Macaca fascicularis: one gene and its partner. The protein of the gene in region 1 interacts with the protein of each later gene in a biochemical or structural test. Links are inferred from orthologs where the notes say so. Each region holds a gene or a part of one and is shown in the gene's direction. Other genes may lie near its edges.

Region 1 (4,233 bases):
TTTTTTTTTGAGACGGAGTCTCGTTTGTCACCCAGGCTGGAGTACAGTGTCCCAATCTCAGCTCACTGCAAGCTCTGCCTCCTGGGTGCAAGCGATTCTCCTGCTTCAGCCTTCTGAGTAGCTGGGACTACAGGCACATGCACATGCCACCACACCTGGCTAAATTTTTGTATTTTTAGTAGAGATGGGGTTTCACCGTGTTAGCCAAGATGGTCTCAATCTCCTGACCTTGTGATCCGCCCATCTCGGCCTCCCAAAGTGCTGGGATTACAGGCGTGAGCCACCGCGCCTGGCCGAGAATGCCTTTTTGAGCGCCTGGCCAGGTGAACAGGACAGGCAGAAGCGCCCTCGCTGGGCTGGTGTTCTAGCCAAATATCCTGTGACAGACCCTGTGAGCTAGTACCAGCCAGCCACACTGTTGCTGGTTTTGCTAGCCAGTGTAAAAGGGTGTGATCTGGTGATGGAGAAGCTTTTGGGTTTCGAAGCCTGGGCCTCTTTTATTGTGCCAGTGTGTCCTTTCATTCAGAGACCTTTTCCCCGTGAGTGGATCTAAAATTCCTGAATGGAAAACATGACTTGGAACTATTCGCAGTTACGAGAGAATTGTTGAAAGTATTTCCAGCCCTCCTCACCTTCTTCCTGCATATAACATTTTAATTATTTTTTTATTCAAAGGAAGTTAAGTCACACTTCTTTGTCTTAAGTAAGGCTGTTTTATTTGTTAGGGTTCAGGGCACATGGACTGTTTTTTTCTTTTTTTTTGAGACAGAGTTTCACTCTTGTTACCCAGGCTGGAGTGCAGTGGCGCAATCTCAGCTCACTGCAACCTCCGCCTCCTGGGTTCAAGTGATTCTCCTGCCTTGGTGTCCCGAGTAGCCGGGATTACAGGCATGCACCACCACGCCCAGCTACTTTTGTATTTTTAGTAGAGATGGGGTTTCTCCATGTTGATCAGGCTGGTCTCGAAATCCCAACCTCAAGTGATCTGCCCGCCTTGGCCTCCAAAGTGTTGGGATTACAGGTGTGAGCCACCGTGCCCAGCCTGGACTCTTTATCTTACAAACATCTTCAGAATGAGAGTGACTGATGGCCTGTCCCTGTTTGGTTTCTTCATGTTGTCCTGGTGCCCATCAGTCATAGGGAGGGGTCTGTTCCAGGGACACGCAGTGAGGAAGCTTGTTACTCTGCAGTCCCTGAGGAGTGCTGCCGGGACAGTGGTTCTCTCAGGATATCGCTTATATGGGCAGATAGCCTTCGATTTGCCAGGTTAGAGCCTTTAGCCGGTCCATGTGCTCTCTGTCCCTCCCAGGTTTGGAAACGATGTGCAGCACTTCAAGGTGCTCCGAGACGGAGCCGGCAAGTACTTCCTCTGGGTGGTGAAGTTCAATTCTTTGAATGAGCTGGTGGATTATCACAGATCTACATCTGTCTCCAGAAACCAGCAGATATTCCTGCGGGACATAGAACAGGTGCCACAGGTAAGCCTCATCAGGGTGAGATGGGATCATTTTAGAAATTAAGAATAGCTCCTCAGTGTGCATTCCTGTGGGAAGGGGGAGGTGACCCTCAATCAACATGCAGGCGCCCTTCAGGGATTGCCACTGGGGCTTCTGTGCTCGTTACTGAACACGTTACCTTCCATTCACACTAAAAATTTCTTGTTTCTGGCCCAGCGTAGTAGCTCATGCCAGTAATCCCAGCACTTTGGGAGGCTGAGGCAGGCAGATCACTTGAGGTCAGGAGCTTGAGACCAGCCTGGCCAACATGGTGAAACCCTGTCTCTACTAAAAATACAGAAATTAGCCAGATGTGGTGGCGCCCACCTGCGCTTGGGAAGCTGAGATGGAAAAATCGCTTGAACCCAGGAGGTGGAGGTCACAGTGAGCTGAGATTGTACCACCGCACTCCAACCTGGGTGACAGAGGGAGACTCCATCTCAAAAAAAAAAAGAAAAAGAAAAAGAAAGATTTGTTGTTTTAAATATAGGATTTTTGCTTTTCCAGAGGCAGTGTGTAGCCAGCTTGCCAGTCTCTCTAGGGAGATGGTCTTTAACACACCCACCCAAAGATCCTGTCCCTGGAGGCAAATTATGAGGAAAACTATGCTTGTGAGGGAGTGAGGTCGGCACCGTTCCTGTCCCTCGAGCCCTGGTCATAAGTTACAGTTAGAGTCCCTTATGTTATGCGAGCTCCAGAATTTTAGGCTCTAATATCTTAAGGGTGTGGTAGAAGGGATTTGCAGATTCTGGGCCCACAGCCTAAACACAGACGGCTGTTTCTGAAGAACTTTCCCCTCCAAGCACTGCCTGCCCTCTACTTGATAATATGGCACAGTTGGCCACCCTCCTCTGGGAGACATACTCTAGCATTTTCTGAGCACTGGGAAAGATCACACTAAACCCGCTTGGCCTGTAAACTTAGAAGAGGTAAGAATAAATGGGGGGTTGGGAGATGGGAGGTGAGTTTAGAAAACATGGAGAATTTGGCACGCATTCGTTTCCCCCTGGAACCCGTCTGGCCTCGGAGGTGGCCGGCCACAGACCAGGAATGCAATATGGGTTTTTCCTGCTCCTGTTTTGCAGCAGCCGACATACGTCCAGGCCCTCTTTGACTTTGATCCTCAGGAGGATGGAGAGCTGGGCTTCCGCCGGGGAGATTTTATCCATGTCATGGATAACTCAGACCCCAACTGGTGGAAAGGAGCTTGCCACGGGCAGACCGGCATGTTTCCCCGCAATTACGTCACCCCCGTGAACCGGAACGTCTAAGAATCAAGAAGCAATTATTTAAAGAAAGTGAAAAATGTAAAACACATACAAAAGAATTAAACCCACAAGCTGCCACTAACAGCAGCCTGTGAGGGAGTGCAGAACACCTGGCCGGGTCACCCTGTGACCCTCTCACTTTGGTTGGAACTTTAGGGGGTGGGAGGGGGTGTTGGATTTAAAAATGCCAAAACTTACCTATAAATTAAGAAGAGTTTTTATTACAAATTTTCACTGCTGCTCCTCTTTCCCCTCCTTTGCCCTTTTTTTCATCCTTTTTTCTCTTCTGTCCATCAGTGCATGACGTTTAAGGCCACGTATAGTCCTAGCTGACGCCAATAATAAAAGACAAGAAACCAAGTGGGCTGGTATTCTCTCTATGCAAAATGTCTGTTTTAGTTGGAATGACTGAAAGAAGAACCACTCTTTCTGTGTTCTTCGTATATACACACAAAAAGGAGCGGGCAGGGCAGCTCGACACCTTTGCTGTTTAACTTCCTCCAGAGGAGGGGGCTTGTAGGAATCTGCCTTCCAGCCCAGACCCCCAGTGTATTTTGTCCAAGTTGGCAGTAGAGTGGGGTAGAAGGAAAGCATGTCGCTGCCTCCATGGCTTCCCTAGAAAGCCTGCCTGGGCCGGGCAGCGTGGTGGCTCACGCCTGTAATCCCAGCACTTTGGGAGGCCAAGGTGGGTGGATCACAAAGTCAGGAGTTCGAGACCAACCTAGCCAACATGGCAAAACCCTGTCTGTACTAAAAATACAAAAATTAGCTGGGTGTGGTGGCATGCGCCTGTAATCCCAGCTACTCGGGAGCCTGAGGCAGGAGAATCACTTGAACCTGGGAGGTGGAGGTTGCAGTGAGCCGAGACCATGCCATTGTACTCCAGCCTGGGTGACAGAGCGAGGCTCCATCTCAAAAAAAAAAAAAAAAAGCCCTCCCAACAGCCTGTCTCTTTCCACTTTGTTGGCCCTTCCAGTGGGATTATCGAGCATGTTGTTTTTTCATAGTGCCTTTTTCCTTATTTCGAGGGTTGCTTCTGAGTGGTGGTGTTTTTTGTTTTTGTTTTTGTTTTTAATTTGTTTTGTTTTAAAATAAGTTAAAGACAGTCCAGAGCTTTTCAGCCAATTTGTCTCCTACTCTGTGTAAATATTTTTCCCTTGGGGCAGGGTAGAGCAAGGGAGACAAGCAGGAGTACAAGGTGAAGCATTCTCCTGCTTGTACTAAGCCAGGAGGCTTTAAGCTCCAGCTTTAAGGTGTGTGAGCCCCTTGGGGGTTCAGGGAACTGCTTGTCCAGGTTGCAGTGTGAGTGTGACGGGCCACCGGGGCAAGAGGGAAGGTGACCACCCAGCTCTCCCACATCCCACTGGATCTGGCTTACAGGGGGTTGGAAGCCTGTCCTCACTGTCTCAGGGGTTGTGGCCCCCACCCCATCACTATATGCACCCCTGGAACCAGCAAGCCCCAGACAA
Region 2 (4,969 bases), on another chromosome or scaffold:
CTACAACTTTAATTGTAAATTTTTTCTTTTATATTTTTATCATGGCACTCAAACTCAGAAAACCTGTTAAGGCAACTACATAATGTGATCTAAAAATCCAGTTAACATATTGCTATGGAAACCAGGAAATAGAAACAGCACTCTAATCATTCCTTTAGACAACCATGGCTGTGTGTGTGAGTGTGTGTGTGTGTAAAACTTTTTAAATTCATTAATTTATTCACCTTTTATTGAAAGCTGTTACTGAACCCAAAATCTGTAATTGATCTGTCCATAAATAGGCCAAGTGCCTTATAACCAGTAAATTTGTTTTTTTGTTTTTGTTTTTGTTTTTGTTTTAAATGAGCTGTAGTCATTGATAAATTATGCCATGCAGTATCAGGAAATCTCCAGTCAGGTCGCATTGTTTATTTAGCCAGCGGAGGCCTCTTGGTATGGTGTGAAGGACACCTGACTGGGCTGAGAGCTAAGTTCTAACCTTGCCCCTCTTACTAACCAGATGTGTGACTCTTCCGGGAACTCTTAGGGACTCAGTTTCTTTACCTGCAAATGGTTCAATTCAATAGTAACGTAACGGGAACTTTCCTTTTCCATAAAACTGGGGAATCACGAGATAATCTCTTTTGAAGATTGAAATCACTCTTATGTAACTTCTGGTAATGCCTGGCACTTGGGAAATGATAACTATTCTCACTGTATTTTTCTATCTTCCATTCTGTAGTAAATAAGACCTGAACCTGCATAGTAACTGTTATTTTAACCCATGACTTTCAATAACGAAGAGATCTATGTCTCATTATCTATTACCATGATTGAACAAGCCCGTGTGAGATGCTTGAACAGGCCCATATAAGAGCCGGAACGAATTCAAGTCCTAACCAGCAATGCCCGTTCCTTAGATCCTACTACCTTTGAGTGTTCATTTACTATTGTAGGTGTCAATTTTTATAGCGAAATATAAAGTTATCCCAACACAATTACACCTAATAGAGTACACCAAGGCCCCAAAAGCTCTGTTTTAAAAATCATCGTAAGACTTCAACATTCAAGAATTAAACTTTTGTTCTATTTTGCTTGTTCATCGCTATTTGCCCAGTTATTTAATCAGTCTGCTTCTGGCTATGAAAAAAAGAAAAAGAAAAAGAAATGGAAGTCTCCTCGTGGTTAAACTCCTCTGTTGTTCTTCCTTGCAGAAATCTGAGTTATTACAGTAGAGGATAATCGTTGCATAATGAAATCATTGGGACAATTCATCCATCCACTTCTACCGCCGCCTCTAACAGTGTGTCTGCGGTGCCCAAATCTCTCTATACTCGGGTGGGCGCGGGGCGGTTAGCGGAGACGTGGGAGAAGCGGAGAGCAGAGCTCGCGCCCTTCCCGGGGTCAGCGAGCGGAGTGCCAGGAGGGTGCGCGCCCTGCCTCTGCGCCCGGGGTGACACTCGCCTCCCAAGCGCCAGGAGGGGGAGTCTCGGTCCCGCTTATCTCCGGCTGTGCTAACTTCAGTCTGCCTGAGCTGGGGGAGGAGAGCGCGCAGCCAGGGCGAGAAAACTTCTCCACCTAGAAAGTTTCACCTTGTCGTGGGCGGGGCAGAGGCGGCAGGAAACGCGACCCCCGCGGGGCCAGGCGCGGCGCGGACGGCAGGAAGGGCGGGGGCCGATTTCCCTCTGGGTGGTGCCAATCCCCACCTCAGCGGTCCTCGGAACCCGCGGACTAGGCGGACGGACAGCGCGCGAGGCAGACGTACACGTGCTGGGGCGGGCAGGCGAGCGCCTCGGTCTGGTCGCCTGGCGGTGCCTCCGGCCCCAACGCGCCCGGGCCGCCACGGGCCGCGCGCGCCGATGCCCGGCTGAGTCACTGGCAGGGCAGCGCGCGTGTGGGAAGGGGCGGAGGGAGCGCGGCCGGCGAGCGGGCGGGCGGGGCGCTGGGCTCGGCCCGGCCGCAGGTGACCCGGAGGCCCTCGCCGCCCGCGGCGCCCGGAGCGCTTTGTGAGCAGATGCAGAGCCGAGTGGAGGGCGCGAGCCAGATGCGGGGCGACAGCTGACTTGCTTCGAGGAGGCGGGGAGGCGCGGAGCGCGCGGGTGGTCCTTGCGCCGCTGACTTCTCCACTGGTTCCTGGGCACCGCAAGGTAAAACTGCAGCCCCTTTCAAATCCCGCACCCCAGCCCTCGCCCCAGCGGTTCTGCTTTCTTTGTTCCCCTAAGAGACCTGACTGCTGTTCCAGGGGGAAAACCACGGAGGTGGGCTAGAGTTTACGGGCTTCGGAAACTGAAGAGACGTGGCCAGGGGAGGACGAAACTAGAATGGGGCTTGTCGTTTTAGGGTGTTGCCTCTGATGGCCACCTGTATGACTTAGGAGGGAGAGGGGCACTGGGACAGTGGGTAATGTATGACTGTTATGGCCCAGCAAGTTTTAAAGCTGGGATCTGACTCAGCCCTTACAAAAAGGATCCGGTCATCCTCGTCCCACCGTGATGCAGCCCGCAAGGTTTGAGCCTAGCTGTTTCCTTGTTCCCAGCCTTGCTTTATCTGTGTTATGCTGGGGTCCTTCCAAGGGGTAGGTGTTTCTGTGAAAGTCTGAATTCATTTCTGGCAATCACGCGGGGCTTGTGATCCATCAATTTTCCATCGTACCTTATCTCTTTCTGGGGCTTGTGGAGGACATCTATCTTATTAGGTGAAATAGATTATAACCAGAGGCTGGGCAATGTGGCCAGTCGTAGTGCTGACCCGATAATTAAAGCACCAGTGAAAGTACTTTCCCTGACTATTGTCAATGCAGAATTTACTCCCAAGTACGGTTTCCCATTCATATCTTTCATGTTTTAAAAGAGCCATTTGCTAATTTGGCAGTTGGAGAGGGCTCCAGTGGCTCACGCATGAATAGTTGCCCAGTGTATTTTACCTTATCACAGTTTTATGTTCAAAGGAGCCCTCGGGCAGAATGAAATATTGTCAACTCTCTTAGGCAAAATAATCAAGATACTTTAATTGCTATGTTAAGATGGTCCATGGATGTGAGAGGATTGTAAAAACTGACGTTGGAGGCAATATAGACTATCTGGACCCTCTCTTGAATTTTAAGAAGACTGTTCACATTCTGTAGCTTTGGGTGGAGGTTTATTCTGTCGCTTCCATCAGCCAGACACATGCACATTGCCATGCAAATAGATTCAGAAAAACATTATATCCCCTTACAGCTAAACTATTATAGCTGACTAATGAATTTTTTCTGCATGAAGATGATCTGAAAATGATGTACATCGTGTTTCTATGTGCTACAAGGACATAAATTGCATTTTTATGTAAATAGTGTAAGTGGTGCTTGGATTATTTACAGGTACATAGCTTTCCTTGCTTGTTTTAAGCTAATTGAGCTTTGTTTTGAACATGTAAACTTCCATAATGGAACATAAGTGAGGTACTTTGGTTCCTATCATTTGCAAGTCTGTGGTGTATTCAATGTTCATTCTTTTTAAACTGCTGAATAACAGAGGGAAAATTTACATCATTCATAAGAAATTTTTGTAGTACGAAAAATGTGTCTGATAGCCTATAAAATGTGCTGGTGTTTTAAAAATTCTATTCAGTTTTCAAACTTAATGGTGCATAAGCTATAGTTATTAACTTAAATATGTTTTGCTTTTAACATGATGGAATTTGTGGCATATAGAAGATGGTCTACCGACTACTGCTTTTTCAAAATTGCTTTGTTCTTGATACATGGCAATAGGGGTTTACATCAGATGTATACTACATGCTTTCAAAATTAGTGGATGGAGTTTATCTTCATGATAAAAATGTAGCAGATTAATCACAGCCAGTCAATATGAAAGCTCATAACTAATATTTTCACTACTTTTAAACCTATAATAGAGAAAAATGACCCTTTGCTAAGCAGGAGAAATACCCATATTTTATAAATTCCTTTTAAGACTATGTAAGTATATGCCTTGCATTAATCTTGAAGTCTTTAAAAAAATTTTGTCTGAATGAAGGCTAAACTAAGAAATACATTTCAAAACTCAATTTCCTTAGCTGTTGTGAAAATAGCGTTTGAAATAGCATTAGTCTAATTATCCTTCTGCAGAACTACATAATAGTCTCAAATACACTTTTTCTCAAATGTGGTCATCTCAAAACAAGGTGAATAACTCAGAGGGGCTAATATCCTCTAACTGGCTCATTTTCTCCAAGTGGCTGCACCAAGGACGTGATGACACCCCCATGGTGAGCACAGTTCCTCACACATTCGGATTACCTCCCATTTCTCTGTCCTCTTCCTACTCAACCTTTTCCTTTGGTTTGGTCAGAGCTGCTTTCAAGGCCTTCTGTGCCCCCATTTCTCCAGCCCAGTTTGCTGGTTTCTTCTTTAGGCATTAGGCTTAGTGATTCTCACCAGAGCCATCTACGCTTTCTTTTCCATGGTCTAAATCCCTAAGATTTCCTTGTTCTGCTGTGTTTATTCATGGGATACTCAATTTCCTCATTGTGCCCTCTTAAGGGGAGAAAATGTATATAGAAACTCAAGTGTCAGGAAGTGAGCCTTCTTTTCCTGGCTGGTATATGCTGAAACTAGTATTTTTGACACCAAGCCCTCAGGGCAGAGTTTCTTCATGGGTTTTGCTCAGTGCAAAATAAATAGTCACTTCTCAGTAATAGATGATAGATACACTGACTAATGTTAGTTCAGAATCACTCTGATGATGTGTTCTCAACTGACACTGAGCTGCTGCCAGATCCACATTTGCCCAAACAAAAATAGCTAGGACCTATAGGTTGAGTATCATATGTGCTAGGTACTACAGCATTTTCTTTAAAAGAAAAAAATGGAATCTGCCCTTGAGAAGTTTACAATCTAGATATACAGACAAACATCACATATAAAATGAACCCAAATTCATAATTATTAAGAGGACATCACACGAGAAACACTTTTGAAATCATCCTATTTGCTATGAAATAATAGAAT

The links.
Region 2: the proteins of GRB2 (region 1) and MET form a complex in vitro, tested with the Homo sapiens proteins (3 studies listed by BioGRID and IntAct, with this or other methods). The link is inferred for Macaca fascicularis from reciprocal best matches to the Homo sapiens genes GRB2 and MET.

The regions. Positions count from the first base shown.
Region 1 is NC_088390.1:81,722,541-81,726,773, reverse strand, and holds part of GRB2 (growth factor receptor-bound protein 2), read left to right. Parts: intron 1-1,309; coding exon 1,310-1,478; intron 1,479-2,581; coding exon 2,582-2,767; 3' UTR 2,768-4,233. UniProt on the Homo sapiens protein: Non-enzymatic adapter protein that plays a pivotal role in precisely regulated signaling cascades from cell surface receptors to cellular responses, including signaling transduction and gene expression.
Region 2 is NC_088377.1:158,136,988-158,141,956, forward strand, and holds the start of MET (hepatocyte growth factor receptor), read left to right. Parts: upstream 1-1,707; 5' UTR 1,708-2,126; intron 2,127-4,969. UniProt on the Homo sapiens protein: Receptor tyrosine kinase that transduces signals from the extracellular matrix into the cytoplasm by binding to hepatocyte growth factor/HGF ligand. Regulates many physiological processes including proliferation, scattering, morphogenesis and survival.